4 linked regions of the Alligator mississippiensis genome follow. The protein of the gene in region 4 purifies or fractionates together with the protein of the main gene of each other region. This does not show direct contact. Links are inferred from orthologs where the notes say so. Each region holds a gene or a part of one and is shown on either strand. Other genes may lie near its edges.

Region 1 (7,883 bases), on a different chromosome or scaffold from region 4:
AGACAGAAGGGGACAAGGGTTTAAACCACTTGATTCCCCCACTGCCTGGCAACACCACAGAGGTAGGAGTGGTAGGGGGTTAAACACAAATTTAAGATGACCCTCCAATAACTAGAGTCTATACATAGACGATTAAACCAATTTATAAAAAGTGTCCATATAGAATCTAGGTCAGCGGTAGGCAACCCCCAGCACGGGTGCCAGAGTGTGGCACGTGAAGGTATTTTGCTTGACACTCATACCATGGGGTGGATGGTGGGGAAGGGCCCAGGGCTGCACTGCTACAACAACGTACAAGTCAAAGTTGGGGGTGTTTCTGGCACTCTGCCCAAAAGTTGTCAACCCCTGAATTATAAGGGGGGGGGGGGAGGGGGTAAAAAGAGTAGTAATCTTAAATTCAGATTCATCTTGGAGTCAGGTAATTACAATAACTACAAGTTTCAATGTCTTTTCAGCTCCTGAAAGGGGAGACTCATCCTCTCTCAGAAGCCAAGCTCACCAATGTCTTTTTAATGTCCAAGTCTCGCAGAGTTAGTGCACAGAGCAAGTGAACCAAGGGTCACTTACTAATATAGGAAATATAGGAACAAGTTGCTTGCAACAAATGAAGAAACAGTACATGAGACTAAGGGCAAGAACAAACATGAAGAGATGCTGACCCTTCGTTAACATACCCAGGCAGACAAATTTAATTTTGACCACATTACATTTTAGCTGCATCTCCCTCCACCCACCACCTCCCCTGGGGTCTCCTGATGTCAGCAGACCAGGAGAAGTGCAGGTGAAGACTGTACCTCATCTACTTGATGCTGTGTTTGCTGAAGACGACGATTACTGCCAGAGGCAGCGCTTGAGCTTCCAGTGCCACTTGCCGACCTGCAGAGATAGTTGTAGTTATTTTATACTGCATCCCTAACTGGGACACAAGACTTCCAGACAGATTTTGTATGCAAGTCACAGAAAATGGCTCAGCAACCAGTCCCCATTCTCAGTAGGATGAAGAGACAGAAATGCAGTTATTGCCACAGTCCTTCAGTGGGATTCTTGCAACTGCCCACAAGAATAAAGCCTCATCCACCTGCTCTAAAGCAGGGATTGTGGGTAGCCTTCCTGCCACTTTCAAGCATCCCAAAAAACAAAGAACCAGAAAGCAGCAGGGTAAGGCACACCTGAGCTTCCTTGCTTCAGCTCCAGTTCTGGAGTGAGAGAAATAGAAACCGATGGCCAGTAAGTAAACCCTGGCAATAGCAGCCTCAATAGCAGCCTAGAGGCAATACAGACATTCCCTCAGACCACAGTCTCTCATAAGTTAGTAGTCTTTAAGCAGCAAAGAAGTGAAGTTAGCTACGGGCAGAGTTCCTAAGTCTTTATCACTAGTGCATGGCTGTAGAAGCAGCAGAGGGCAAGCAGAGGCAAACTAATACAACAGCCAAGAAAGAAATAAGAGATAAACAATAGCTCACATTGCTATCAAATGCCAAGAACTGCAACCCATCAATATTTTTCTCCCTTTTGAAATAAGGGCACATGAATTCAGGCACATTTTATTATTTGAACTTGGAAGTTCAATAGCTGTCAACAGAAATTCAGATCAACTTGTGGAAAAAGAGATGGTTTCAAGTAATTATGTCCATGCAGCATCTCCTGCTATTTAATAATTTTCCTAGGTCACTAGGAAAAGAAAGCCAATTCAGTATTCAGTGCTAGATATTTCAGAAGACAAGAAGCTTCATAAACAGTTACAAAGCTTCTCTGAACCCAGTTTTTTCCCCAGAGCCTCAGGTAGCAAGTGACTGTGTTATTTCCTTCTACAACTTTAAAACTTGAAAGTTTATAAAACACAGCAGGCATTTCCTCTCTCTCTCTCATATCCTTCCTAAGTTAGGGGAAGTTCTTCACTCATCTGCTCAACTTTTATACCTCTTTTATGAACACCAGGTGCCTATACTTCAGTGCAGAGGCTGCTCTGACATTCTGCAATTACAGTGTAGCAAACTCCACTAATGGAATCTGGAGTGCTAATTACCACACTCCAACAGCCAGCTTGCATCTGGTATATCATGTCCCAGCACTTCAAAATAGTGGTAAGGGCACTTTATTTTCAAACACACCCCACTGCCATTTTGAAGCACAGGGATGCTGATACACCAGACCCTTCAGGTACTTTAATTAGAGCCCCTCTAATTAAACTCCCCCCACCCCTGGAGCAGGTGTATAGAGTGCACTGTGCTTAGTATTCTGGTTTCCTCTGTTCCGGATCCAAGCACACCATTACATTCCCCTTAGCCAATATCAACAGGTGGCAGTACTCAAGCAATTAACTTTTTCTAGGAGTCTTGAAAGCAATATCTGCAGTTAGAAGCGACTGAACTACCCCCGACTTAGAAGTGAATTCCCACTGGGCTGTGCGTGGAAGGAAAGGGGAAGGCTCAGGCCCCTTGTCAGATCTCTAGGGGAATCCTCCCGGAGAGCTGGATCCCAGCACTGACAGGACTGGTGCCACCTTTTTGAGTATGGAAGATTAGCCCCAGCACCTTAAATCTTTCACGCAAACTGGACGCCTCTTAAACAGAAAGAAGGCTGCCGTGGCTCCCGCTGAGCTCGGGGCACTTCGGGCGGGTGCGAGAGCCCCTGGCAACGCTCTTACACGCAAGGAGCCACCGCGGCCGAGGCCCACGCTCGCCGCCCCCAGCTCCGGGCCCGGCCCCTCAGGACCAGCCAGTCTCGAGGAGCCTCTTGCGGGCGGGCGGGCGTCACGGGAAGGGACGAGCGGCTCCGCGCCCCGCCCCGCCCCGCCCCGCCCCGCCCAACCCAGAGTTCGGTCGCGGGGACGTCGCTATCAGCCCCCACCAGGCCCCAAGGAGCGCGACAGGCAGGGCCTAGTGCCGCCCCCCAGCCCGCCCGCCCGCCCAGAAGAAACCCAAGGACAGCGCCAGCTCCCGGCCCAGGACACGCAACGACCAAGCCGGGTCCCCACGGCTCCTCCCCTGCCCCGGACTCACATGCTGGCGGGCGGGCGAGCGGCCTCCTGCTAACCTCACGGGCGGCCCAGGGAGCAGCACCAAGCCGGAAGCAGTGCGCAGGCTGGGCAACGGCAGGATATGACGTCTGGGGAGGAGCCTCTTCAGCCCACGCCACGGCCTGTGGGAGGGGCCTGGCCTGGGCCGCCGTCGCCCGGGGCGGGGTCGCGGGCCGGGGGGGGCCGGGCCGGAGGGGGAGCAGCAAGGCTGAGCTCGCAGTCAGTCCGGCGCCGCCCGCGCTACCTGGGGCGACCCGAGCCTGCCGTGCCGCGGCGCGCGGGCCATGTCCGTGTGGGCAGCCGCCCCGCCGTCACCCTTGCTGCAGAGCGGGCGGCCCAGCCGGCCGGCGCGGCACGGAGCGGGGGCCAGAACCCGGCAGCCGACGTGCTCGTCCCGGCTGAAGGGCCTGGGCTCCAGCGCGCCCGTAGCGGCTGGGCCTGGCTCAGGAGGAGACTCGCACCCCCATCCGGCACACCCCGCCTGTCCGCCGAGGGCGCGAGGGTCGGTTGCCGGGCGCAGCCCCACCTGGATGTTAGTGAGGTGAAAGGTTCAAAAGTGCCTCGGGTCTGTAGGGAGCCTGCACCCCCTCCCCCTACCTAGCTGAGGGCTTGTCCTGTCAGTAATGGCTGGCGAGACACTGCCGTGTTAGTCTGAAGTCAAGTAGAAGGCAGGATAGTGATGACGGTGCCAGCTTGGGTGGGGGGGTGTGAACTCCAGCACTTTTGTGTTACTGTGTGGGGCTAGCTGGCAGGCAGCCTCTGCACTGTAGCACCCTCGTGCCTCAGCCAGCCCAGGCCACCATCTACATGTGTGTTCTGGCATATGCAACTACTCCACTGTAGGATAGTATTTGTCTCAGACAGTACTACCCTACAGCAGAGTTAATTAGTTTACTGCACTCTAATAAGAGGAGCACAGGTAGATGGTGATGCTTTACTGCAGAACTAATTAGTTAGCTCTGCGGTGAAGTGCACATGTAGAAGCACCAAGGGGTCATCCAATGTGGTCTTGCAGCTGTCTACATTTAAGTGTAGGGAAACCTGAAATCGCAGTGTCTTGGCCCGGTACAACAATCTACCTTGGCAGGCTTAGTTGTCTGGGATCTCTGCATAGTCTGTGAGGACACAGGGACTGCCGAGGTGTAATCTGGTTTGACCAGATATGCATGTTTGAATCATTTGACTCAGGACCAGCACACCTTCTGGATTATTTATGCTATAAAAGCAAAAAGGGTTATTTCCATTACTGAGGTCTGATGTAATGTAATTTCCCAATATTTCCAATAGGAGAGGTACTGACTTTTGTTTGCAGAAAGTTAAAAATTGCTAAATGAAATATATATTTTATTATTATATATTTCCATTACAATAGATTCTAAAGGCCTTAATCAGGACTGGAGCCATCTAAGTGCTGGTCAAATATTTCTTGATACTTTCTTAAGCTCCTCCTGTTCCATTTTATTCTGTTAACATCATTCATACATCTATAATCTTCCTGGATGTAGGGTTCAGTTGCTCCTTCCTGCAGGGAAGTGTCATTAATATTGTGCAATAGAAACATGAGCACTTGTACCCTGGTTTGCATTGGAAAGTGCACACTGTGAGTAGCACATCTCAGTCTGGAGAGACAGTGACTGTCATGCCTGGAAACTGGGCCAAATTCATCCCTGAAGGCATGGATCAAACCCATCAACATTTGATCAGTTTTCAGTTGTTTTCCTTAGAAATTATTCTGCCATCTCATACAGCATCATGATCTCTAGTATCTGACAGACACTAGTCTCTGAGCCTGGCTCAGAATTTATCTCCCCTGACTGTTGGCTTCAGGGGAGTTACAGCAGGGATGAATTTGCCCCCACATATTTTAAATACAGTGAGGTTTCTAGGGGTTGTAGCCATGTTGCTAAATGTTGCCATGAGACACATACAGAAAGGGAGACCAGCGTCCAGGACGGCAAAACCCATTTCCTTTCTGCTGTAAAAGCTGATTTAACAGTCAAAAGACAAACTTTTACCCCATAGCAAAGGGAACCAAAAAATGGAGGAAGGAGCCTTATCCAGCCTGTCCCACTACTGCCTAACTAGGAAGTGAGGTGTGAGGACCATGCATTCTCCCTGAATCTTTTATGGCAGTGCCCAACACCAGGCTGAGCATCTTTGGGCTGACCTGAGATCTTAGAAAGATGTGGCAGGCAGTGCACTTCTGAGTAATTACCTGGAACTCTTGGGGGCATCAGAAGCCAGTTGAAAGTCCAGTAAGTTTAATACTTAAGAAGTGTCCTGAAATGTGCTGGTCTACATACCGGATGGAGGGTACACATTACAATCCAGAAGAAAGACAGATCAAGAGATTTTAAGGATCACATTCTCTCAGATGTGAGTGCTTGGACCCACTCAGTGCAGTCAAACCTGCATATCCACTACACAGCAGGATTTGGGTCTATGATAGTTTAAAAAAAAAATCAAAAAAGACAGCTGCGTTTGAAATCCAGCCAGTCAAGAACCTGAGTGATGTTTGCAAATAGGTCATGTGACAGACTTGCTTTTTAAAAGGCTAACTATAGTTACTCAAGGAAGATGCAGCTCCTTGGTTAAAATGGAAGGTTAAAAAACACACACTTAGTATGGGGAAATTTTCTTTGTTTTTAATTTACAGCAGAAAGAATATAAAGCATTCAGAAAACATTTTCCATATTTTAAGGGCAATTCAAAACATTTTGCATGGTTCCAGCAGCTGAGTTCTTCAACAGATCCATTGATTCAGTGATGCTTTACATGCACAGTTACAAAAATAAAACTTACAAAAGAGAGACATCTATACTAGTTTTACATGCAAGTTTTGGGGACTCCCCATCGGGCGCCAACTACTGTGTGGAACTGCTGTAAGCGTGCAACCATAGAGGGGGTTCATGTTATATTCTGTATTTCTTTCACACAGTATTACTGTTTTCAGATGTGTTACATGAAGGAGCAATTCCACTTGCAGGAGACAGAAGATCCTGCTCCTGGCACTTGGGAATCCTGATTTTCCCAGAAAGCTGCACTATCATCTATTAAAATATGAGTTCCACAATCAAGAAAAGGGTGAATAGAATCACTTCACTTCAGTGGGACAGTGTATTTAACTCACCAGTGGTCACTGATACACTGAAGACTTATGACCTGACACGGCAAAGCACTTAAGGATATACTTAACTTTAAGCATGTGAATACTCCTATGGAAGCTAACAGAATTGCTTACATGCTTGATATTAAGCACGTACTTATGTGTTTGGCTGAAGCAGGGCCTCTGTCAGTAGATACATCACAAGGCCCATGGATTTGAAATAGCTCTGTATATTACTGACTCTGTCGGCATGTCTACATGTGCAGTTAATGCTATTTGGCTATTCTGTGCAGTAAATTTACAGCGCGGTAAACTAATTTACTTCACAGTAAGCGGTGACGCTTTACTGCACGGTAGATTAGCCTGTTGCACATTAAATCATCTCGTGTAGACACGGTTTCTCAGTACAAACGCAAGGGGTTAAATACTGCCACTGAGGTCATTACTCTTTCTTGTTAGGAAAAGATCAATTATATGTGCCATAATACTGGCAAATGGGACAAACACATTCAAAGTGTCAGAGTTCTTCCAGTACTAATACAGAGCATTCCAGAAGGAGTTTCTTTTTTCCATTTCCTGTTCCCATTTTTTGTGTGTGGAATACATAATGTGTATTCCAATTCAATAAAATAAATTGAAGTTAAAAGGCTGCCACAGCCACAATGTGGCAGCCAGACAATTTCTCTTATTGAATCAGATCATAAAGCAGCAGTTCACAAATGTACAGAGTGTTCTGATCATGAGCTATAGCACATACACTGTAATTCAATGCTGGCAGTGAAAAGAAGTAATTAAAAACAGGTACAATTATAGAAAAGGCACCAAGAGCACTGACCCCAGTTTTTTTGCCACAACCTTTGTCTTTACTTTTCTTTTAAAGACACCAGTTTAAAAGTTTATAATCTGTGATATTTTTAGGCTTCACAACAAGCCTTGCAATTACATATTTCAGTTGGTGGCCTGGATCAAGTAAGAACAACTATTCTAAAACTAACCATCTAAAATTTACACCAATCATTTGGAAATTTTAAACTGGCACTAGCAAAATAAACACACAGGAGCAGTTTCTGATGTTAGCTACACCTGTGTAAACCCAGAGTAACTGTGCCAATTTCAGGGGTATTACTCCTGATACGTCCCAGTGCAATTAAGATCAGAATCTTGCCCATCCTGTTTAAACTTTACGACAGTTTTACATTAGTATTTCACTTTTTAAAATATCTGATTTCTTTGGCTCCTCACTATGTGGAAATAGCAATATACCATGACACCCCTACAAGATCAGTTTGCATCTTTTAAGTTTTTACTTATTTTTATTTTTTTTTATTTTTGTGCAATTTTTATTACATTTTCTGACTTCCAGCAGGAGATATGAAAATGTGAAACATATTTTCTACTTTCATACTATTTCTTTTTTTTCAGTTTATGTTCATTCTAAGTGTTCTTTATTGGAGTGAGTGTATGGTGTTAAGCTAGATACGATTTTGTATTCTTATGATTATCTGCTTTGCGAAAGTAACTTAATTTTTTTAAGCAATATTAGCATTCACATTACTTGGCACCATTGGCAAAAGAAATACAGAAAGAAAGAAAATTAAAATAAAATAAAATAAACTCCTGGTAGCCAAAATCAAATGTAAACATATCCTTTTTTAGTAATGTTACTCTGCCTTTTTTCCTAAGTCTAAATACAGTAGCTCTTTTTTGCCATTTAGTCATGCTTTAGCAAAATGTTCTTCTAAAGAACATTTAAAATAA
Region 2 (8,048 bases), on a different chromosome or scaffold from region 4:
AAATGACATTGGTGCATGTGTTAGTACAGAATTTGCCACAGTTCTCACAAATCTATTTCCTAATCTCAAACAGGCTTTTTGGGAACTACTACAATAAAATACAATTAGCTATGTTCCTTAAGAGCTTCCCTTCAAGTTAAGTTTGTTTTGTTGGCATGCATTCTAAAAAAAGTCAAATATGTAAAACTTAAGTAACATATCCCCTTACAGAAGGATATAGTTTTCATTGTGTGTACTGGAGACATGTAACCTTACAGGGAAGCTTTACTAAAGAATTTAGGAATCCTCATACTAGTTTCAGTTTAAGGGACTTTTAATGCTTCTCCCCTATTTGTTTGCAGCATTTATATAAAAAGCCTCCTGCCCTGATGTAAATATTTTTCTGCCTCAAGAACATATAATTAATAAATGCATTAGTCAGTAGTCACTGACCCAATTGATATAGGCACCTCAACTTTCTTGCCTGTTGTTTCTAGATTATTTTTTCCTCCAACTATTTTCCATTATACATATAATTAATTATCCCTGAAGCTAACATGACACAAAAATGTATCCATTCTGGGACTAAGTGCTCTAAATTTCTTCTGATAAAACCTTAACTAAGAATCCAGTGTTTACATTTCACACAGAATAGACAATAGAGCCAGACATATCACTCCCACTTTTGTTTCTAGACTTGTGAACTGTCTTGTTCTCAGGCTGAGAAAGAGAAGTGTAGAAGCTTTTCAACAGCAAAGGCCCCAGTAGCACTGTACCAGGAACGTGAAAAATCCATATAATTTACATGGAAAGTTAAGTTCCATTGTCATATACACACACATGATTACTGCAGTTGTCCATACTTGAATCTCTGTCCATATTTTCCTTAGAAGTAGTCCAAGACTGAAACAACAGTCTTGTTGCATATAAAGAACAAATTATGGCACAGAGATGATGCCCATTTTCAAGGCCGACCGATTCCCTCCCCCTCTACTACTGAATGCTAAAGTTGTCCTAAACCACATAAGTAAAACTTGACTTCAGATTCTTCAAAAGGAAAGTCCCTTGAATTTGGGGGCAAGAAAAAGGTCATTTAAACTATCATTTGGAGGTCATGGCATTAGAAGAGTGGTTCTCAACCTTTTTAGACTCAAAGCAACCCTGGAGAGACTCAACCCTTCAGAAAATGCCAGCTTCATTTTTCTGACTACAGAAAAATGATAGAGCAATTCTTTTTCCAAGAACTCAGAAAAACCGCAACAATGCATTTCTATTTGAAACTTCTGGGTTTATTTCATGAGTCACATCTGTAAACCTAATAGCACTGAAACTGCATGGTACCCCATGGCCCCCCTGAAAGGATCTCAAGGAACCCCATGATGCCGTGGCTCTGTGGCTGAGAATCGCTGTTAGAAACAAGGTAAATCCAAGTAGACTTTACAACTTCTCATCGTAAGCAAGACCTACATACACTTCTGCATCTCACATAGGACCACAGGATTATTTTTTACATGAGGCATCAAGCTAGATAAGAGCAGGGAAGGTGAGTTTAAACATGGCTGATTATTTACACATGAGTAGTATATGTGTATGGGGTTTAGGGCACAAGACCCTTGAGATCCCTTCCAACTCTGGAAGCCTTCAGCTGGCCTCTGAGATCAGCATCAGGAAAAGAGGCCATATGTGCATGTACATCTGTGCATGTGTGCGTACACATATTACATATAATGTATATGATACAGATGTGTACACACACATACACAGACATATACATACCCACTACATATAAAGTCTACATACACTATGTGTGCACATGCATGTGTATACAGGCCCATACAATGTATGTACACTATATATGTGTGCACATGTGTATACACACCTATATAATGTATGTACAGTATATACATTTGTGCATGCACGAGCATGTGTGCATAGGCATATACGCTGTATATATACCTACATGCATTATATATGATCTACAACACACATGCACACACATCTATACATATATGCACCCACACTGCATACTTTAGATTGATGGCTAGACAGATATAGTGTATACACATTATTAAAGTGTGTATACACACATATATACATATACACCCCCCCAACATTACACTATATATATATATATATATATATATATATATATATATATATATATATATATATTAGTGATAGAGATGGATAGGTAGGTAGGTACAGCATAGGCACATTATGTAGGTATGTGTATATCCATACATATACAGTATGCATCCACACTGTTTAGAGCTAGATAGATAGCGTATAGACACATTGAATAGGTCAGCGGTTCCCAACCTTTTTTTCCCCGCCATGCCCCGCTGCTGGGAGCGGCATGTGGTGGCCCAGGGAGCCCCTGGCACACGGTGCGGCGGCTCATCTTTTCTGTGCAGTGCTACCAGCATTGCCCATGACCCTCATTTGGGTCGTGGCCTGGGGTTGGGAACTGCTGCTATAGGTAAACACGCACACATATATACATACGCATGTGTGGGGGTGTGTACATATCCACCCACCCACATATACAGAGAATGTACACGTATTACACAGCTGTGTAATTTTTTTTGCAAAAAAAATCTTGTTGGTCTAATAAAATATATAATCTCTTACTACGAGTCCTGATTGCACATAGCTGTGTATACACGTACAGACACACAGACACCCACACACACCCTCGCCCGGGCCTCGGCGGGCTGCTTCCCCCTTGGCGGCGGGGCCGGGCCGAGGCCGGAGCGGAGCGGAGCGGGGCGCGGCGCTGCCTCTCCCGCCGCGCCGCGGGGCCAGGAGCCCGCCCGGCCCGGGACCCCCAGCGCGGGGGGCCAGAGGGCTGCCCCGCCCCGCATTGCACTGCACCGCCTAGCCCGGCCCGGCCCAGGGCGGTGGCCCCTGCACGCCCCACTCCCAACGCCTCTTACCCTCACCCCGGCGTCACCTCCGCTGCTGGTCCTGCTGCCCCGGCAGCTCACGACCCCAGACCTGCCCGGCCCGGCCCGGCCCAGCAGGCGCTGCCAGCTGCTGCAGTGTCAGCGGGCGGGGCGGGGCGGAGCGGGGCGGAGCGGAGCGCGGCGGTCCTGCCCGCCCCAGCCGGCTGTGGGGCGGTGCCTGCAGCGACCTCCCCGCCTCGCCCCGCCCCGCCCCGCCCCGCCCGCACTGGGGGCGGCTGTGCCGGGCTCGGGCCAGTCCTGGGTTTTGGGAAGGGTGGCGCATCCTGTGACGAGCTAGTTGTTGGGGCTGGTGCTGCTTTGAGGGGTTGGGCTCGATGCCCTCCTGAGGTCTGTTGCAGCCCTCCTCTTCTGTGAGCCTGTGATCCTGGCACTGCACCTGCTCACTCCCCCGTTCAAATGGAAAGGAGAGGCTTTCCCACTAGGCTGGGGCCGCAGCGCTGCCTTCTTCAGCTGCAGCAGGAGGCAAAAAAACAAATAAGGCCCCTTTTAGAGCGTGTTAAAAACCCGTCGGCCGCTGCAGAAGCCCCTAAAGCGGCGTTCCCCAATGTGTGGGTCGCGACCCAGAAGTGGGTGGACTTGAACAAACTTGAAAAAGGGATTGGCCTTTAAAGGAGGAAAATGTTGGAAACCGGGTGTTTTCCCTTGCAGGCTGGCAGAGGTGCAGCCTACAAGGGGCTGCTTGCCCCCTCCCTCCTCCCCCATGCCTCACCCACCCACACACACTGGGGGAGCAGGTCAGGAGTGCAGGGCCCTGGACCTAGACTGGCCATTGCTGTTTACAAATGGGTCCTGGTACAAACAAAAGGTTGAGAACCAGTGCCCTAATGGACAGCAGGGTGAAAAGAAAGCAGAAGAAAGGCTAGGTTGCTGGCTGGAGCCTCCAGAGCATGAAAAAAGATGGGAAGGTTGTTCACCCGTCACATGAAGGGCTTAGGAAGGATCAGGGACAATGAGCCACAACGTCAAGCAAGTCCCTCAGTGCTGCCTGACTCAAAATGCTGCCACTTCCATTGGACGGTAGGGCTGCTCTAGGACAGTGCAAAGCAGGGTATGGATGATGTGGCACTTTATCACATAAGACACTACACATCTTTTCCTCCAGTTAAAAGAGTCATTAACATCACCTATGTCTGTCCCCTGATAAAGGGCTGTTCAATGGGTGGCCTGGAGGCCACATGTGGCCACCAAGGGGTTGTCTTGCAGCCATGGGTTTTGAAAAGGGCTGTGCAACTGATATGGTGCATCACCACAGATGACACTTTTTTGTCCCAGTTAAAAGAGGAACTGGAAGCTTTACTAATACGCTAGAGGCCTCGTGCTATATTATTCAGTTTAAGATCAAAGCAAAAACAAATCTAACTTTATTAGCATGTTCCCTCATTTGCTAGATTCTAAATTAAGTTTAAAAAACACAAGAAACTAGACAAAAATGGTCAAAATAGTCAAGATACTGTGCCATTAGTCCTCCAGTCATCATTGTTAAATGTACATCTCTTATTCAAATTGGTAAAACAAAATCTGCTCTTCCTGAGAGTTTTGAGAGTGCCTCCAATACTTCACTGTCAGTTGTTTCTACACTGAATTAATATTACTACACCTGAGTTAAGGTTTTTAGCTGGAGCTAGAAAACAGTCTGCTGGGCTTTGAAATAGAAGAGAGATATTACCAGGAATGGCTGGCAGACAGCAAACTTGCAGAAAGACGGTTTGAATAGTGGAACATCAAAGACATTAAAATGTAGAGAGGGTCGTTAACCCCTATGGAATGAAGAGACATTAGCAGGAATCAGGTAGATTTTAGTAAGCCGTGAAGTAAATTGACTCCCTCAGTGTTGCCTGATTAGAAATGGAACCAGTAGGTTGGTTTTTAAGTTTGGGTACAGCAGGAATCAAGGAGGGGTGCAACTGCACCACTGCACCCCCACTACATCTGCTGCTGGACAGGGTGATCCTCATGGCAGGTCCCTTGGCCCCACCTGGCCCAGGGTCAGGAGGTAGCCTAGGCACTGCAGACAATGCATGCAGCTGGTCCTGCCACCCTGGGTGCAGAGGTGCCACCCGGCATAAGGTACAACCTGCCCTATCCCTAAATGCAGCTCTTGGGCACACCAGAAGCTGTAGTCTGGGGGCTGGGTGGCACGGCAATGGGGTAGCAGCTGTGGCAGCATGGTGGCCTGACTCTGCTTCCCGGCAGTCCCCATGATGGCAGTTCGCTCTGCCCTCACGCTTCCAGCTGCCACTGCCAGTGTTTCCACCACCACTACTGGACCCAGTCCTGCTGCCCAGGCACCCTGGCCCATCCACCCTGCACCTACTGATCAGAATGGGCAAGCAAGTGGGCAAGGTCTCCATGGAGTTTGGCTCAGGGCCCCCGCAAACTGGGCAAGCTCAGCCAAGCTCAGCCAAGTGAATGGGATGGGGTCATGGGCAGGTCGGGAGCAGAGTCTGGGAGTAGAATGGGTAGCTGGGGCCAGGGCTGGGTTCACAGGGCAGTGATAGAGTGGGGCCAGGGCCCAAGGCAGAGCCATGATCTGCTCCTCACATGTCCCTGCAACAGGCACTGCTCCCTGCCTACTCACGGCCCTATTCCATCTGCCTGGCCAAGCACACCCTGCCCCCAGGGGTCCTTGGTCAGTCTTTATGGAGACCCTGCCAGCCTGTTCTGTCCAGTGCCCCTGGTTGTGGATGCGGGGCCGATGGGCCTCGGGTCAGACAGGATCAGTTAGCATCTTCCCAGCCCCCCACCCCACCCCATGCACCCTGCCAGGCAGTGTAAACAGCTGTAACGGGGGGGCAGAGGCCAGGTCAGCACTACCCCCCTCCTCTCCTCTGGCCCTCCACATCTCACCAAAACTCCTTAAGTGGCCCTCCAGCCCAAATAATTGCCCACCCCTGTCTTAGTAGAATTTTAAATGCCAACTTGAACAAAAAATTGTGGAACAAGTTCCTCAGACTGGCTTGTGTGAAGCATAGTCTAAACAGGGATCCTTATCCCATTACCTGGATTAGCTTTAGTGACCCCTTCATCCATACAAGTGCATTATTTGTTTGCCCCTCTGAGCACTGCCCCTTTCCCCTACAGTCTCCAGCCTCCCTTCCTTCCCTGTCTTTTGCATCAAAATCACGCAGTGCTGGTATTGCTCAATCTTTTGGCCCCATGGGCTAGGTAAGTGTTGCAGGGCTGGTCTGTGGGCCAAACTGGGGTCTGTGCTGCCTCTGCCAGATCTCTGCCACCTCGCTCAGATTTGCACCATCTTGCTCAGATCCGTGCTACCCTGATCAACTTTATGCTGCCCTGCTCAGCCCTATGCCATCCCACTCAGCCATGTGCCATGCTACCCTGGGACATCCCACTCAGCCTCATGCACTCAGTCTAGTACACAGGGTCATGCTGTCCAGCCCATAGGGCTCCCCCTGGGTCTAGAAATATGACAACAGAGGAGGAGCAATTAGCTGCCACCACTCCCCTGCCACCAGATTTTCAAACCCAGGCAGAGTCCTATGGACCAGATCCAGCCCACAGGCCAGGGCTTCAGCATTCTGATTTATTTGGTAGCCTGCTCTCTGCATGCCCTTTCTTAGCATCTGATAAAGTTGGCTCTTACTATGAAAGCTTATGCATCTCTGATTCAGTTAATCTGTAAGGTGCATCTCTACCCTGCCTTCTTCAGTAAGCAATAATGCCACAATTCTAATAGCTGAGGCATGCTTCACACACATACTGAGCTAAGCCTTCTAGCCAAGACCTCACTATTTCCACAGAAGTGGTTGGTAGTACCATCAATAGTACACATTGTATGCTCACTTTGCATCCATGGTGTCCATGCAGTATCTTATCCAGTGATTTTATTTCTGAAAACAATCTTAAATCTCAACTCTTCAGTCATTACTATTTCAATAAGGTATAACTAAAATATGTGTATTTAAAAAAATCACATAAGCACACAACTCCAAGTCAATGGCCAATTAAGTAAGTTTTTAAATAGCCATGTTTTCTGTGGAAATCAAATAGAAACACATTTTTAATTTTCGCTTGCCTGTTATAAAGATATGTGGGAAATGTTACCACTAGAAAAATGCATTAACAGAGCTAAGAACCGGCTCCTTCTTGGTTACATAAGCACCTCAATGGGACTTACCTGGAATTTAGGTGCCCATGTTCCAAATACTGATTTCTATTGGCTCTGTTCCAGCAGCCCCAGAGTTCAGTAGGTGCCCACATTCAGATGGCACTTGGACTCCATTTTGGACTCCAAAATTTCTTGGGTACTTTGCCTGCACTTGGTGTTTGAATATGCACAGACGTGATTCAAGTTGATCACTTGTTCATCTAAGTCTCCTCCTGTCCAGTCCCTCCTTCCAATCAAGAGTGGTTTTAGGGCAATGCCGAAGTTCCTAATCTTCTAGTCAAAATTGTGGCATCTCTAACTTATACTGATGGCAATGAGTGCAGCATGAAAACACCAGTAGAGACTAGGCCCAACTTTTCCCCAGTCGCCCTAGTAGTTAGAAGTGGGGAACTTTGGTTCCAGGCTGTTGTCAACCTAAAGGGACCCAAACACCTACCTCTGACCTCCCCAGAAACTACCCTAATCATCAGAGTGTGGAATTATCTATGTAGGTACACCTCCCATCCCTCCTGTCAAAGCTAGGCTACTGCACAGCTAAGACTGCAAAACTCTTGGAGCCAGAAGGAGAGTCAGCACAACTGAATGTGCCTCTGTAGCTTAATTTCTAGGGCACTACTCTGAGATGTGGGCCTGGGTTCCCATCCCTGTTCCCAGGGTTATTTCTTTGTTTTAACCATTCACTGCTTATGTATAACATGTGCACAGTCCTAGGCTTAGGTTAGCTTTAACAGGATGGATGAAGAGTTTCCTATTACCTAGAACTTACCCGAGAAGTGGGAACTGTGTGTTTGAAACCCCTCAGGCTGGCAGGGTTATATAACCCTGGTCTCCCTCTTGCTAGCAAATGCTCTGACATCTAGATTAGCTTGCAAGATAAGGGTGGCACCACCACCCCTGGTCAATTAACTACCTACCTTCAGAAAGGACTGGATGTTTGGAGCACAAGTGAATGAAGGTACTTAATGTTCATTTAG
Region 3 (7,622 bases), on a different chromosome or scaffold from region 4:
CTGGCTACACTAGAATTAAACCACCTAGAAAGATCAGGATTATGCTAGATGATACAGTCCTTCCTGGGCCAGTTTTATGGACAGCTTCAAAGACAATGACTAAAACCCTGAACTTGACCAATTGGCTGAGAGCTAGTTATGTGAAAGGAACAATTCTGTGTTACCAAGCCTACAATCTGCTGGATTCTAAACAAGCCATAGCCTTTTCTTAGGTTTCACTTCTCAGTTCACAGAGTTACAGAAAGTCAGCCCTGGTGGTCACAAGGCTATACTCCCATAGAACAATACTGTACATTGCTGGTTTGCCCTAGCCACTCCTCTAGTGGAGAAACAAAGCTGGCCAGACAGGCAGGAGGCAACTACGTGTCAGGCCATGCAACAAGAGAACATGCTGACTGCGAGGAGATTCGTCCACACTGGTAGAAATCCCTTCCTCTGGCTCCTTCCTTTTTTCAGTTCTTGAAATACACGATAAGCTCATCGTGGGACTTACAGGGAGACCAGCTGCCGGGAGGGAGGGGTGCTTTACCTACCACTAGCACCAGCCTCCCATTAAAACAAAGACATACAAGGAAAAGCATCCTCTTGCCAGCATCGCTTCCTGCACTGGATACTGCTATTGAGCCCATTTCTCATGAGCCAGTTTCCCTGAGCAGCGCAGGTCTCATACAGGAAAGAAAAGTAGTTTAGAGCAGTGGTGCAAGGATTGCCAGGTCTTAAATACAAATTATTATATTGGAAGCTCAAAATTATTATATTTGCTGAAAAACTATCGTACACTGAAAAAATATGCAACTAAGTATGCAAATAAGTCATCTTCTTACTTACTGTAAGTTGCCAGTGAGCAAGTAAGAACTGGGTCAAACTCAAAACATTTCTTTATTTTAAGGCAAGCAGCCATAAGAAAGTCCTGTAACAAGCCCAAAATGTAGAGGGAATCCAAATTCCAAGACTTCCGGGCTTAAGCCTGCACGTAGGATGCTTGCCAATTAGAGGTGCACCGACTGGTTCATATCGGACTGGCACCGATAAGAAGAAAACTGACATTATCAGCAATCAGCTTTTTTTGGCTAGTGTAGCCAATAATGTCACCAATAAATGCTGCATGGATCTGCGCAGGCACAGCATGCATGTGGCCAGGAATGCAGCCTGGCAGCTTGGAGAGCAGCATCCAGGCAATAAGTCTGTGGTAGGGAAAGGCAGGGGCATAGGGCTGCAGATCGAGGCCCCCACAGTGAGGGAGGGAGTAGGGCTGGGTCAGGGGCTGCCCAGTCAGGACAGGGCAAGAAGTGGGATGGAGCTGCAGGTGGCTAGTCCGGGGGGGGGGGGGGGGACGGACACGACACAGCTCCCTGATGCTGTGCACACCTCTGGGGGAGACATGGGGGCATGCGTCCCCCAGATTTCTGCATGCAGCGGGCTGTTCACTGCGGGCTCAGGGCCAGGGGCTGCACCAGCCTCTTCCTGGTGGGGGGCTAGGTGGGACTGGGGCTGTACGTGGGGTGGGTGGGGGCAGGACAGGCAACAGCAGCACTGGGGGCAGGGGCTACAGGGAAAGCTACAGCCACCCCAAAATTAGCTGTAGCCACTCCATAGCCTCCCACTCCCAGGGCCACTGCCACCCACCCCAGCCCTGCCTGCCCTGAGCACAGCCCCGGCCCAGCTCTCCCGCCAGGAAGAGGCTGGCGCAGGCCCTGGCCCCAGCCCACAGTGGGCAGCCCTCCCTGTCCCGTGCAGAAATCCAAGGTACACATGGCCTCCATGCCTCCCACAGATTTGCGCACAGTGGCGGGAGCTGCCCCCCCTCGCTGCGCCTCCGTCCCACATCCCACCCCAGCTGGGCAGTGCCTGCTCCTGCCCCACTCCCTCCCTCACCAAGGGGGCCTTGATCTACCCCCGCCATGCCCCTTCCCTCCCCCTCCCCTTCCACCCCACAGACTTACCAGCTGGACCATGCTCCCCAAACTGCTAGGCTGCATGTCAGCAATCAGATCTGCATCAGCCAATATAGCTGGTTAACAATTGATCATCAGTATCAGCCAAAAAAATCTTTATCGTTGCACCCCTACTGCCAATGGACTTGGGAGTATCTGAAGTCCTCAGGAGACAGCCTGGGACAGAGGACGCTCACGGGTTCTAGCGCCACACACGGTGTTCAGAATGATCGAGTTCTGCCAGCTCAGTCGACGCGGGCTTTGAAACGATTGAGTTCTGGCTCAATTGATAGGATTTGGCTAGTTTGACCTGGAACACGAACAATATTAACAAAAAACTTCCCAAGAGCGCCTTGGGTTTTGCATATGCTGCCTCAATGAGCTGCCTCAAAAGTTATTGGACATTTTGAACACTTTTACTACTGTTGAGTGTATATCATACGAGGGTTGAAATGATGGCACAAATACAGTAATGCCTGCACACCCACAGGGTCACCAATCTGTTTGAATATATTCCGTGAGGTTTCACATAAGGACTTTAATTACAGCGTGCAGATTTACATCAGCAAGGCAAATGCACATTACTGTTACATTTTAAAAGCGCACTGGACTACTGTATTTAACATTTATTTTAAAGAGTGCCCCATCATTTACCCCCTGGGTGACTCCCAGCAGTCTCCTGGAGATTCACAGATAATCCCTGGGATCCAAGGCAATCCTGGAGGGGTGGCACTGGCACCCTACACACGCGGCTACACTGAGAGGTGCTCGGACGCTGTGGCGGGCACCCCGATGGGCAGTGCCGGGGCAGTACCCGGCCCGGATCCAGCGGCACAGTGGAAGTGGAAGGGGCCGGGGCCGGGCCGGCAGCTCCCCCGACCCGGGCCGCACTCACTCACCGGCCAGGCCGCCCCGTAGGCGCTCGGGGAGGACGCGCAGCTGCCCGTGCAGCTCCCGGAAGATCTCGTGCAGCCGCTCCAGGTGCTCGGAGGAGCCCGGGCCCCGCACTGCCATGACGGCGATGACAGAGGCAGCCCCTGCCCAGACCCTGCCGCCCGCTCCGCGCCGCTACTTCCGGGATGTGTGAGAGGGGGCCTCCCTCTGTCTCGCGAAGGGGGTGCCCTAATTGGCGCCTGATCAGAAAAAAAAAAAGAAGGAAAAAAAAAAAAAGCTCCGTCCGGAGCAAGCTGAAGGCAGGCTCCAGCTGCCTGTCGAGGAAGAGTCGGGGGGAGATATTCGGGAGGTCCAACTTTGCTCCCAACGGTGACTAACGAATCAAGCGCGCACTTACGTCACCTTAGAGGGCATCATCAGGACCCCGGGGCGCGCAGGGCATGCTGGGAATTGTAGGCCGGCGTAGGGACAGTCATAAGGCGGTCACGGGAGTGCCGGGCTAGTGCGGACGGCGGCGTGGTTCTATGCGGATGCGCTCAGATGACTCCAGCCAGGTGTCCAATCTCCTTTTAAGCACCTCCAGGGAAAGGAACAGCACCACCTCTCTTGGAGCTTATTCTGTATTTTGGCAACCCTCACTATAAAGGTTTTATTTCCTGATGTCCAATCTGAATTTGCTGTCTTCCAGTTTGTGGCCATTATTTCTACTTACCCTGACAGCCGCACTGGTAAACATTGTATCCCCTATTTCTTGCTAACCCCCCCCCCCAATGAGTTTGTAGGCGCCCATGCAATTACCTCTCAGCCTCCTCTTACGGAGGCTGAAGAGGTTCAGTTCTCCCAGTCAGTCCACTTAGGGGGTTTTCTGTAGGCCTTTAACCAGATGAGTGGCCCTCCTCTGAGCCCTCTCCAGGCCATCCGCATCCTTCCTGAAGTGTGGTGCCCAAAACTGGATGCAGTACTCCAGCTGTGGCCTGACCAGTGCTGCATAGAGGGGAAGTATCACCTCCCTAAACCTGTTTGTGATGCACCTACTTATGCAAGACAGGGTGCGGTTAGCTTTACTTAACTATCTCATCACACTGGTGACTCATGTTCATTTTGGAGTCGACTAAGACTCCGCGATCCCTTTCTGCAGTTGTGTTACTGACACTTATCCTTGTTAAACTGCATCCTATTCTGTTCGGTCCATTTCCCCAGCCTGTCCAAATCAGCCTGGATTCACTTTGTGCCGTGTAGTTTGTGTACATCAGGCACAGAGGGAGATGATCCCGATGGGAGGAAAAAGAGGGAAAGGGGCCAGGAGGCTTCCTTGGCTGACCACAGAAATCCAGGGCAGCCTAAGGGCCAAAAGGGGAGCACATAAAAAGTGGAAACAGGGAGAGATCACCAAAGATGAGTATACCTCCTCTGCTCGTGCTTGTAGGGAGGCAGTTAGACGGGCCAAAGCTACCATGGAGCTGAGGATGGCATCCCAAGTAAAGGACAACAAGAAATTGTTTTTTAGATATATAGGGAGTAAAAGGAAGGCCCAGGGTGGAATAGGACCCCTGCTAAATGGGCAGAAACAATTGGTGACGGACAGAGGGGACAAGGCTGAACTCCTCAACGAGTTCTTTGCCTCAGTGTTCCTAAGTGAGGGGCACGACAAGTCTCTCACTGGGGTTGTAGAGAGGCAGCAGCAAGGCGCCAGACTACCGTGCGTAGACCCTGAGATGGTGCAGAGTCACTTGGAAGAACTGGATGCCTTTAAGTCAGTAGGCCCGGATGAGCTCCATCCGAGGGTGCTGAAGGCACTGGCCGACATCATTGCACAGCCAATGGCGGGAATATTTGAAAGCTCGTGGCGCACGGGCCAAGTCCCGAAGGACTGGAAAAGGGCCAATGTGATCCCCATTTTCAAGAAGGGGAGGAAGGAGGACCCGGGCAACTATCGGCCAGTCAGTCTCACCTCCATCCTTGGCAAAATCTTTGAAAAAATTATCAAGGCTCACATTTGCGAGAGCCTGGCAGGACAAATTATGCTGAGGGGAAACCAGCACAGGTTCGTAGCAGGTAGATCCTGCCTGACTAATCTAGTCTCTTTTTATGACCAGGTTACGAAACGCCTGGACACAGGAGGAGGGGTGGATGTCGTATACTTAGACTTCAGGAAGGCCTTCAATATGGTATCTCACCCCATACTGGTGAACAAGTTAAGAGGCTGTGACTTGGATGACTACACAGTCCGGTGGGTGGTGAATTGGCTAGAGGGTCACACCCAGAGAGTCGTGGTGGATGGGTCGGCGTCGACCTGGAAGGGTGTGGGCAGTGGGGTCCTGCAGGGCTCGGTCCTTGGACCAATACTCTTTAATGTCTTCATCAGCAACTTGGACGAGGGAGTGAAGTGTACTCTGTCCAAGTTTGCAGATGACACAAAGCTATGGGGAGAAGTGGACATGCCAGAGGGCAGGGAACAGCTGCAAGCAGACCTGGACGGGTTGGACAAGTGGGCAGAAAACAACAGAATGCAGTTCAACAAGGAGAAATGCAAAGTGCTGCACCTAGGGAGGAAAAATGTCCAGCATACCTACTGCCTAGGGAATGACCTGCTGGGTGGCACGGAAGAGGAAAGGGATCTTGGAGTCCTAGTGGACTCCAAGATGAACATGAGTCGGCAGTGTGACGAAGCCATCAGAAAAGCCAATGGCACTTTATCGTGCATCAGCAGATGCATGACGAATAGATCCAAGAGGTGATACTTCCCCTCTATTGGGCGCTGGTCAGATCGCAGTTGGAGTACTGCATGCAATTCTGGGCACCGCACTTCAAGAGAGATGCAGATAACCTGGAGAGGGTCCAGAGAAGGGCCACTCATATGGTTAAGGGCTTGCAGACCAAGCCCTACGATGAGAGACTAGAGAACCTGGACCTTTTCAGCCTCCGCAAGAGAAGGTTGAGAGGCGACCTTGTGGCTGCCTATAAGTTCATCACGGGGGCACAGAAGGGAATTGGTGAGGTTTTATTCACCAAGGCACCCCCGGGGGTTACAAGAAATAATGGCCACAAGCTAGCAGAGAGCAGATTTAGACTGGACATTAGGAAGAACTTCTTCACAGTTCGAGTGGCCAAGGTCTGAAACGGGCTCCCAAGGGAGGTGGTGCTCTCCCCTACCCTGGGGGTCTTCAAGAGGAGGTTGGATATGCATCTAGCTGGGGTCATCTAGACCTAGCACTCTCCTGCCTACGCAGGGGATCAGACTCGATGATCTATTGAGGTCCCTTCTGACCCTAACATCTACGAATCTATGAATCCCCCCATAGTTCGGTGTCATCAGCAAGCTTGGACAGGGTGCTTTCTACTCCCTCGTCCAAGTCACCAATGAAGATAATTGAATAGGAGTGGTCCCAGGACAGAGCCTTAGGGGACTCCACTACCTACATTTCTCCAGGTAGAAACTGACCCACCTACCACCACTCTCTGGGTGTTTCTACCTGCCGGACCCTGTAATAATCTATATTGCAACTGTTTAGTTTATTAATAGGAATTGGGTGGGACACTATGTCAAAGGCCTTTTTAAAATCTAAGTAAATAACATCTACTTCTACTCCTCCATTCAAGCATTTTGTGACCTGGTCATAAAATGAAACCAGGTTAAGTCAGGCAGGATCTGCCTGCTATGAACACATACTGATTGCCCCTTAGCATCATTTTACCCACTGGTCCCCCACAAATGTTATCCTTAACAATTTTCTCAAAGGTCTTGCCAAAGATAGAGGTAAGACTAACTGGCTTATAGTTACCCGGTTCATCCTTCCTCCCCTTCTTGAAAATAGGGACCACATTGGTCCTTTTCCAATCCTCTAGGACGAGGATGCTCAAACAGTTGTGCCAGCGGCTCCACTATGACTCCAGTTAATTCCCTAAGTACTCTAGGACGAAGATCATCAGGACCTGTTGACTTAAATACATTCAACCCCTCCAGGTGCCCCATTACTAGGTCAGCAAAAACAGTTGGTGGGTTGGTATCTATACTGGGCTTACCTAAGGTCCTAATGGGATTCATAGATTCACAGATGAAGGGTCAGAGGGGACCTGAGCAGATCATCAAATCCGACACCCTGCCCTGGGCAGGAATGAATACTGGGCTCATATGACCCCTACTAAGTTTAAGCTCATATGACCCCAGCTAGGTAGTTATCAAGCCTCCTTCTAAAAACCCCTAACATAGGAGCCAGCACCACTTCCCTTGGAAGCTGGTTCCAGATCTTGGCCGCCCTGACTGTGAAGTAGCGCCTCCTCATGTCTAGCCTGAACCTACTCTCTGTCAACTTATGGCTGTTATTCCTTGTTATTCAGGGCAGCGCTCAGGGGAACAGGGTCTCTCAGATTCACCTCTGGTCCTCCCTGGTAAGTTTCTAGATGGCCACTAGATCCCCTCTCAGCCTTCTCTTGTGAAGGCTGAACAGGTTCAGGTCCTGTAGCCTCTCCTCGTAGGGTCTGCCCTGCTGTCCCCTGATCATGTGAGTGGCCCTCCGCTGGACCCTCTCGATGCTGGCCACATCTCTCCTGAAGTGCGGCGCACAGAACTGGACGCAGTACTCTGACTGTGGCCTGACCAGTGTCGCATAGAGGGGGAGGATCATCTCCTTGGCCCTGCTTGTGATGCACCTGTGGATGCATGACAAGGTGTGGTTGGCCTTCCTGACTGTGTCCTCACATTGGCGGCCCACGTTCATTTTGGAATCAATAATGACTCCAAGATCTCTTTCTGCCACTGTGCTTTCAAGAAGGGAGTTCCCCAGCCTGTATGTA
Region 4 (7,242 bases):
TCCTTATACCCAGCTCTGTTGCATCAAGGTTGAATTTCCGAGGATTTGCTTCAACAATGCGTTAATGACAAGTCAAGGAAACACTACTGAACCAGTAGTCAGCATTCAGGCAAATATCCTGGCTACCTGAAAGGATACTACTACCTAAGTGCTATAATTAATAAAGTTAACTGGACCAAGATTTGGTTAGTTAGGAAAATCATGCATCTGATGCTTAACAGTCCTTGCATCCTGCCATTGTGTACCAATGTAAAGAGCCCGCTGGAATTTTTTGGCTTGCCTGACTGGCACAGCATAGCACTATCAGAAATTGTTAATTTTAATCCTTTTTCAACTCTCTTTTCTGGAGCTCAGTGTAACAGAGGACTGACTGCCTCCAGTTAAAATTCATCCCACAGAAGGAACCTTTTAGAACAGGGCATCTTACTTTTAACTATATGTTACTGATCAAGAAGGAGAGAGGACATATAAAAAAAAAAGGTTACTTTGAGGAAAAGCTGGCATGTCACTGACTCCACTGTCTAAACCAGTGGTTCTGAACCTTTTTTGCATTAGGATCCATTTGTAAACATTGATGGCCAGTCCCAACCCAGTGCCCCTCAATCCTGACCGAATGCCCTGCCGTTCCAGCCCCCAGTGTGTGGGGCAGGGGAGGGCCCATGCAGCCCCTCACAGGCTGGAACTCTGCCAGCTTGCAAGGGAAAAGTCACCATTTCCCAAGTTGTTCTCCTTTAAAGGATAATCCATTTTTAAAGTTTGTTGATCCATTTTTGTTTGAAACCCCTTCATATATTATTTTGGGTCACAATCTATAGGTTGAATAATTCTGGTCTAAACCATACAATGATATCTTATGAAAACAGCAGCTTCTGAAAGAACTTTATAGCATACAACGCATATTTTCCAAGAAACTGAATTACTCTTTAAAAGCCAGCCTCATCCTTCAGGTAGAAATAACACAAGGCTGTATCTAAACTGTAACAGGTCCATATAAAGGATATTAATAGTTTCATCCAAGTCTTCCAGGTCCCATTCAATGCTCCGCAGGTTGTTCCTGAGCTCATTAGTTGTCCAGTCAATTTCTTCTCTTGTGGCTATAGAAGGGTCTTGCAGGAGCTCCGTCCATCTCTGAAACAACCCCTGAGCAGTATTCACTGCTTTTTGGACCTCCCTGAAATCAAGATGATTAACAAAAATACTAATGACTCAACTACACAGAAAAACATTGTAGTACAGCTCTAACAGAATCATTCCACTACTGCTGTAACAGACTGATTCTCCATGTAGACAAGTGGTGTTTTTCACTGTTTTGGCTTTAAAGTTATTTGCATTAATGACCTCCTCTCAAGCATCCTCCCTTCAACCTGCTTGATTTTCTCTTTAAACTAATCACATAAGCAGAGAAAAGTTGGGCTAGAAGGGACCTCAAGGGTCATCTAGTCCAATCCCTTGCTCAAGGCAGGATTCCCCACAAACACTGGTTACTAGATAATCAGTATCTTGTCTTGTCTTCTACCCCAATAGAAACTGTGACAGAATTTCATAACAGAAAGACAGTGACAGTTATGGAAAGGATCTACCTCTTTCACCTATTGCTGTTATTAAAAAGAGAACTTTAACATTTCCCAGACAATTGCACTGCTTTTTCAGTACTCTTCTGTGGATGGAGGAACCCATGCTACTCTTTAACAAACAGACATTTTGCATTTCTATAGCATCTTTCATTCCAGAACCAACAAGGACGAGGGCAATCCTGGCATGTTTCATACTGTAATTTCCTATGCACATTCTCCACTACAACATGTTGCTACTTCCTAATCATGGACCATAAGAATTGCAGGAACTGTCCCTACAGAATTTCTGCATGAACCAACTGTGTCCAGCTTGGATCTGCTTATTTCATTTTTCTTTTTTGTAATTTACAGTACTTATTGAGCTATGTTTGCTTAATAAACTCAACTGCTTTACTGCTCCAACAAGTGTCATAGAAAAGTGTTTCAGATGTTAGCATGAGAATGCATGCTGCTGAAAGCACTGAACATTATAGTTATTCTCTGGGATCAGAGGGCAAATAGCAAATATCTACCCATAAACATATGATTATCTGCATAAGTAAATACTGCTGTCTTATTCCCAGGGAATATCCTTTCAAATGAATGGAAAGTTGGGATGTAACACTTATACACAAGAGGCATGTTAGCAAGCTTTTCAGGTCTTATGATCAGCTGTAAAAAGCTTGCCCCACGTTTAAGGGTTGCACATAACGTGCAGATCTGTTCAAAGATGTGGGGACTTCTGTTCTTTGACAGATAGGGGTTGGACTTCACTAATAAAAGCTTAGAGTTGATCAGCTGTGTCCTCAGCTTGTGGCCATGAAGGGGATGAACGTGGGCCAGTTAGAAGGACTGTGTCCCGCTTTGGGGTACCCCAGCCTGAAGCCCTCAGTTTTCTGTCAAGGGCAGGTCTTGTTTCCTGTGCTATGTTATCTTTCCTCCCTCCTCTTTGTCGGTGCTTCTCAAACTACACGAGAGCAGAAAATACAGTAAGGTTGTTCTTAGGATCCTAGGAAATTAAGAGCTGGAAGGACCTCACCAGGCCGTCCAGCCCTGCCCCAGCTCGCGGCAGGCCGGCTCCTGGCCAGCCCCTTCCAGGCAGCATCGGAGGACGGAAACTCGCTGCCTGGGCCCGCTCTGCCCCTCCCACTCCCTCAGGGACACCATGGAGCCGGCTCCAGCCCGGCACGGGGAGCGCGGCCGGGTGGGAGCTGCTCCAGCCGCTGCCAGGGCCGGTAACCTGCTCACGGCCCGCCCAGCCCCTGCTGCGGGCTCCCCCACCCGGTAGCCCGCGGGGCGCTGGAACCTCGCCCGCCGCCCCCGGGCCCCGCCCCGCACAGGCAGCCCTGAGCCGGGAGCGCCCGCCCCGCCCCCGCGGGGGCCTCCAGCCCCGGCCGCGCTCACCCCTTCACCACGAAGAACGGGTCCTCCATGGACATAGCGGCGCGGCGCGGCCCGACCCGGACCTAGCCCCGGCTTCCGCGCCCAGCCGGACTAAGCCCAGCCCCACCCGCCCCACCCCGGCCGCAGTCACGTGACGTAAGAGCACCGCCCCGCCCCGCCCCGCCCCGCCCCGGCGCTGGGGGGAGGGGAGCCCGTTCCTGTCGTCACGTGACAGTAACAGGCACAACCCCGTCAATCCCCGCGGGAGCGCGGTGTGCACTTGTGCCTGCTGCTGTCACGTGACAGGTACAAGCCCAGCCCCCGCCGGGGGACGCGGTGTGCGCGTGTGCTTGCTGACGGAAGTACTGCGCAGGCGCTGCAGCCCCTTCCTCTCCGCCGTGACGGCTATGCCCGCGCCCTGCCTGGCTCGGCCAATCACAGACTTCGCGGCCGCTCGGTGGTTGGAAGTTGACGCGGGCGGGCGGGCTGCGCGGCTTGGCTGGGCTGGTGGAGCTGTTCCAGTTTGGGGCCTCCGGTCCCGCGAAGCAGGAGGGTAGGCGGTGTTCCCGGGTGTACGACCATTACCGATTTGTACAATAACTTCGACCCTTGCACGGTGTCCGGCCAATGACAGTAAAAGTGCCCAAAACCTACCATTTACTTTTCATTCCATCCAGGAAGAGCGCACACCAACTGCTGAAACTTCCTTAGCCTGACAAAGGGTTTTTGAACCCAAAATCTTGCTTAATACATATTCTCCAACTATTTGAGTTGGTCTAATAAAAGATATCAAATTCACCCAAGGACCCTTGTCTGCCCAAAACCTACCATAATTTTTAAGCAACTGATTGCTGCATCACTTGCAAACCCCAAATTGTTTCCAGAGGGCTTTAGCTAGGTTTTGGGTTTGCTGTCAGTGCTTTTCTATGCCTACTGACCTTGAAAGAAATGAATCAACTTTAAGATCCAATTCTCACTTGCTCACTGGCAAGTTACAGTGAGCAGTACAAGGTAAATAAGACTTACTGGCAGACTTATTTGCATATTTTTTCAGTGTAGGGCAGCTTTTCAGCAAATATGATAATTTTGAGCTTCCAATACAATAATTTAAGACTCGAGTGCCGTGAGGTGACGTGTTGTTCCCGGCCGCCTGGGGCCTGAGGAAGAAGGAAATCTCCTCTCACTTAAGGGCCAGCAAGTCACAGCGCCCGCGGGACCCTTCATACTGTTCTTTTATTTCCTCTGTCAGAAAACACAGAAAACAAGCTGCCATTTTCCAAGAGCCGCCTTGAGTCTAGTGATGGGCACCTTGAATCTAAATACAGTTGAGAGCCACTGATAGGAAGGGAGGATACTCTCGTGGGGGGAGCAGGGGGGCAGGGAGCAGATGCATGCATGGGTATGGGTGAAGCATGTGGGGCACAATTTGAGACCTTGGGCAGGGACCCCTGAACCGGCCAAATAATGTGACTGCACTTTTGCTCTGTCGTGCCAGATGTCCCAGCTGATAGTGCTTTAAAGTAGGAAGCCTGTTTGGCAAGGCGACTTGCTCGCCGTGGGAAATCTGTGGAGCAGTTTTGCAATCTGGAACAGGATAATCGTGAATGTTGAGGGAAAAGCCATTGCGGATTGCGAAACCAGGGAATCAAATTCAGTGAGAGAGCCTCTTTAACGATAGGCTTTGGATTTTAAATAAAACGCCCCCTTTAATTGGGATGATGTAGTCACACGTCGGAGTCCTTTGTTGCATGTTCCCATGGCTTGAGTCATCCGTAGGCAGATGGAGAGGCATGCTCTGTCCAGAGTTCTTCGCTCTCAAGAAGAAGGACACTTCTTTGTGAAAACAGAGGGTGTCTGAGAGGACAAATGGAAGGGACACAAGGGAAGCAGAATGGGGAACCTGTCTCAGGCTCTTCTGCCCTTCCTGTCCTCGTCCAACCTGCAAAAGAAAACACTGGGGTCTGTCCCAAAGACTACTACTGATTCCCGTCTTTTCCAGGCTCCCCTGTCACCTTAAAGTTTCACAGTCCCATTCTGTTTGAATTCTACCTCCCTTTACAATCTCCCTGCCCAAGCAGCTGCCAGTTTCAGTGAAGACAACTGCCTGTGTAGTTTCCACCACCTTTTCTGCCCTATCTGTACGTAGGGTGGCCATCATAGAGGACAGTCCGGTTGTCTAGACTAAGTAGCAGAAAACAGAGTAGCAGAAAACTGGAATGTCCTCTATGATGGCCACCCTACCTGTACATCTACACCAGTGTTGTTGCCTACTTACATCCGGCTGTTCCTCCAGTAACTTTAGGCCTTTGCTCTTCTACTTTAAAAGTACTGAAAGGCTAGGGAGACCTGTCTGCTGGGGTCTGACCACAGTTTTGGTTGAAGGAAGAAAGTTAACCTTTTTCATGAGAAAGAGATATATGTGGCTTTGAATTGTTGAGCACTTTCTCATTCTTCATTTCTTTCTGGGAAAACTGTTGGCACAAAAGCTCTCCCCAGCTGGGAGTCAGTTTCTCCATCTGAGAATGAAGCCTTTATTTCAATTGAAATGTTCCCGCAATACCTGCACAAAACCAGTAACAGTTACTCCACATTCCTCTTCTCCTTTTCTGGAAGCAACAATAGAGGCTCCTATGTCTTTTATTTGGTAACAGGTGTAACTAAATACTTCCATGTTCAAGTGCCAACTGTTTTTCAGGTGCCAGCATGATCTGAAGAAGCAAAATTTCTCGATGTGTTGCATTTCATTTGTATACTATAAATTGGTTCATGCAGTTGTGTACTGAGTAATTTTGCTACCTTCCAGGAAAACACTGGTTCAGAAGTGCAGAGATCAGTAGCTTTATCAGTGAGACCTGTTGCACATTTTTGTGGTAGCCAGTTGGTAGTTCTAGGCTGGTAGTAGCAGTTTGGTGTCTTCAGAAATTTTGCTGGTGAGTCAGCTTAGTTTGAACTTGTTAATTACGAAGACAGTTTGCTGACATGTAAATGTATTTCTACACAAATGCTGTATTTTAAGAACATCTTGTTAAAGGTTATCATATTTGGACTTATTCAAGCAACTGCAAAAGTCCTAACAAAAGTGATTTATGGTGCTTTGCTGTCAGTATTGTGGAGTAGTGCAATTCATCTCACTCAAGTGTGGGATCTCATTCAACATTATCTGGATCAAGAGTGAATTAAACAGAGAACAAGTCAATTCAAATAGTAGCTTGTAATAGTAATTTATGGAGATTAGAAGTTCCTTAATAAAGTACATTAACCTTTTTTTAGCAGAGTTGTAGTGGTACTGTAGTCATGGCAGTCATGGTAGTCCAGGGAATATGCAAGTAACAAGTTTTGTTTGGTAATTTTTTTTTACCGGATAACTTTATAGTTGAGAGAGAATTCTTTTCTCAAGTCATTCTAGGAAAAAGTTTAAACAAGTTGGAAAATTGCAAAGATCTCTATTGAATAGCTGAGAATTTTCAAAATTCACAGCAAGGAGGTGGTTCTTTTTTTTTAAGCTGAAAGCTAATTTAATATAAATGATATTTAAAATCAAAATATCACACTATCAAAAAACCAAGCTCTTTTGACTTTCTAGGATGGGTGTGGTCTTGTCTCAGTTCCTGAATGAAAGTTTTGATTTCACTTTGCAGTGCTGCAGATTGCTCCAGTATGTTCCTCCCCTGGCCTGCCAAAAATTTCTGGTAGAGGAGAGTCTTTGTAGGCTGCATCCCACTGTAGAGCCCACTGGGAACTATTCAGTGAAAAATATTTGATTTGTTGAAGCCATACCAGTTTTGACAAAATGTTCATCAAGAAAGAGTTCTTACTGTGCCTGTACACACATGCATGTACCTGTCATCCCAGAAGAGCCATCGCCTTCTGAGCAGGATCCTCTTCTGGAATGTAGGAGCCCCATCTTCAGGTCCCTGCTCTTCTACTCCCCTTCACCCTAGGTTAGTACCCCCAACCACTTTCTCTAAAATCTAAATCTCTCCTGTGGGAGCCAGAAACAGTCCCCATAGTCCAGTCATTAGAATACTTGCCTGGAATGTGAGAGACTGACTCTTCTGTGGTGTGTGAAGGTCTTTATCTTTTTCTCCTCAAGAAATGGTAGAGGGCCTTGGTTTCACTTCTATGCAGAACAGAAAAACCCAGAATATTTTGAAATCCTGAAAATTTCATAGATTCATAGATGTTAGGGTCGGAAGGGACCTCATTAGATCATCGAGTCTGACCCCCTGCATAAGCAGGAAAGAGTGCTGGGTCTAGATGACCCCAGCTAGATACTCATCTAACCTCCTCTTGAAGACCCCCAGGG

Evidence for each region.
Region 1: the proteins of STX6 (region 4) and VAMP3 purify together in Homo sapiens (affinity purification with mass spectrometry; 5 studies listed by BioGRID and IntAct, counting the BioPlex papers as one, with this or other methods). This does not show direct contact. The link is inferred for Alligator mississippiensis from reciprocal best matches to the Homo sapiens genes STX6 and VAMP3.
Region 2: the proteins of STX6 (region 4) and STX7 purify together in Homo sapiens (affinity purification with mass spectrometry; 3 studies listed by BioGRID and IntAct, counting the BioPlex papers as one, with this or other methods). This does not show direct contact. The link is inferred for Alligator mississippiensis from reciprocal best matches to the Homo sapiens genes STX6 and STX7.
Region 3: the proteins of STX6 (region 4) and VTI1B purify together in Homo sapiens (affinity purification with mass spectrometry; 3 studies listed by BioGRID and IntAct, counting the BioPlex papers as one, with this or other methods). This does not show direct contact. The link is inferred for Alligator mississippiensis from reciprocal best matches to the Homo sapiens genes STX6 and VTI1B.

What each region holds. Positions count from the first base shown.
Region 1 is NC_081836.1:20,081,992-20,089,874, reverse strand, and holds the start of VAMP3 (vesicle-associated membrane protein 3), read right to left. Parts: upstream 3,111-7,883; 5' UTR 3,005-3,110; coding exon 3,003-3,004; intron 877-3,002; coding exon 795-876; intron 1-794. UniProt on the Homo sapiens protein: SNARE involved in vesicular transport from the late endosomes to the trans-Golgi network.
Region 2 is NC_081824.1:115,199,663-115,207,710, forward strand, and holds the start of STX7 (syntaxin-7), read right to left. Parts: upstream 3,051-8,048; 5' UTR 2,922-3,050; exon of another isoform or gene 2,916-2,921; intron 1-2,915. UniProt on the Homo sapiens protein: May be involved in protein trafficking from the plasma membrane to the early endosome (EE) as well as in homotypic fusion of endocytic organelles. Mediates the endocytic trafficking from early endosomes to late endosomes and lysosomes.
Region 3 is NC_081825.1:230,760,323-230,767,944, reverse strand, and holds the start of VTI1B (vesicle transport through interaction with t-SNAREs homolog 1B), read right to left. Parts: upstream 3,044-7,622; 5' UTR 2,949-3,043; coding exon 2,834-2,948; intron 1-2,833. UniProt on the Homo sapiens protein: V-SNARE that mediates vesicle transport pathways through interactions with t-SNAREs on the target membrane. These interactions are proposed to mediate aspects of the specificity of vesicle trafficking and to promote fusion of the lipid bilayers.
Region 4 is NC_081828.1:52,539,780-52,547,021, forward strand, and holds the start of STX6 (syntaxin-6), read right to left. Parts: upstream 3,067-7,242; 5' UTR 2,993-3,066; coding exon 2,958-2,992; intron 1,172-2,957; coding exon 1,002-1,171; intron 61-1,001; coding exon 1-60. Other genes in the region: uncharacterized protein LOC132250811, read left to right, coding at 3,344-3,489. UniProt on the Homo sapiens protein: SNARE promoting movement of transport vesicles to target membranes. Targets endosomes to the trans-Golgi network, and may therefore function in retrograde trafficking.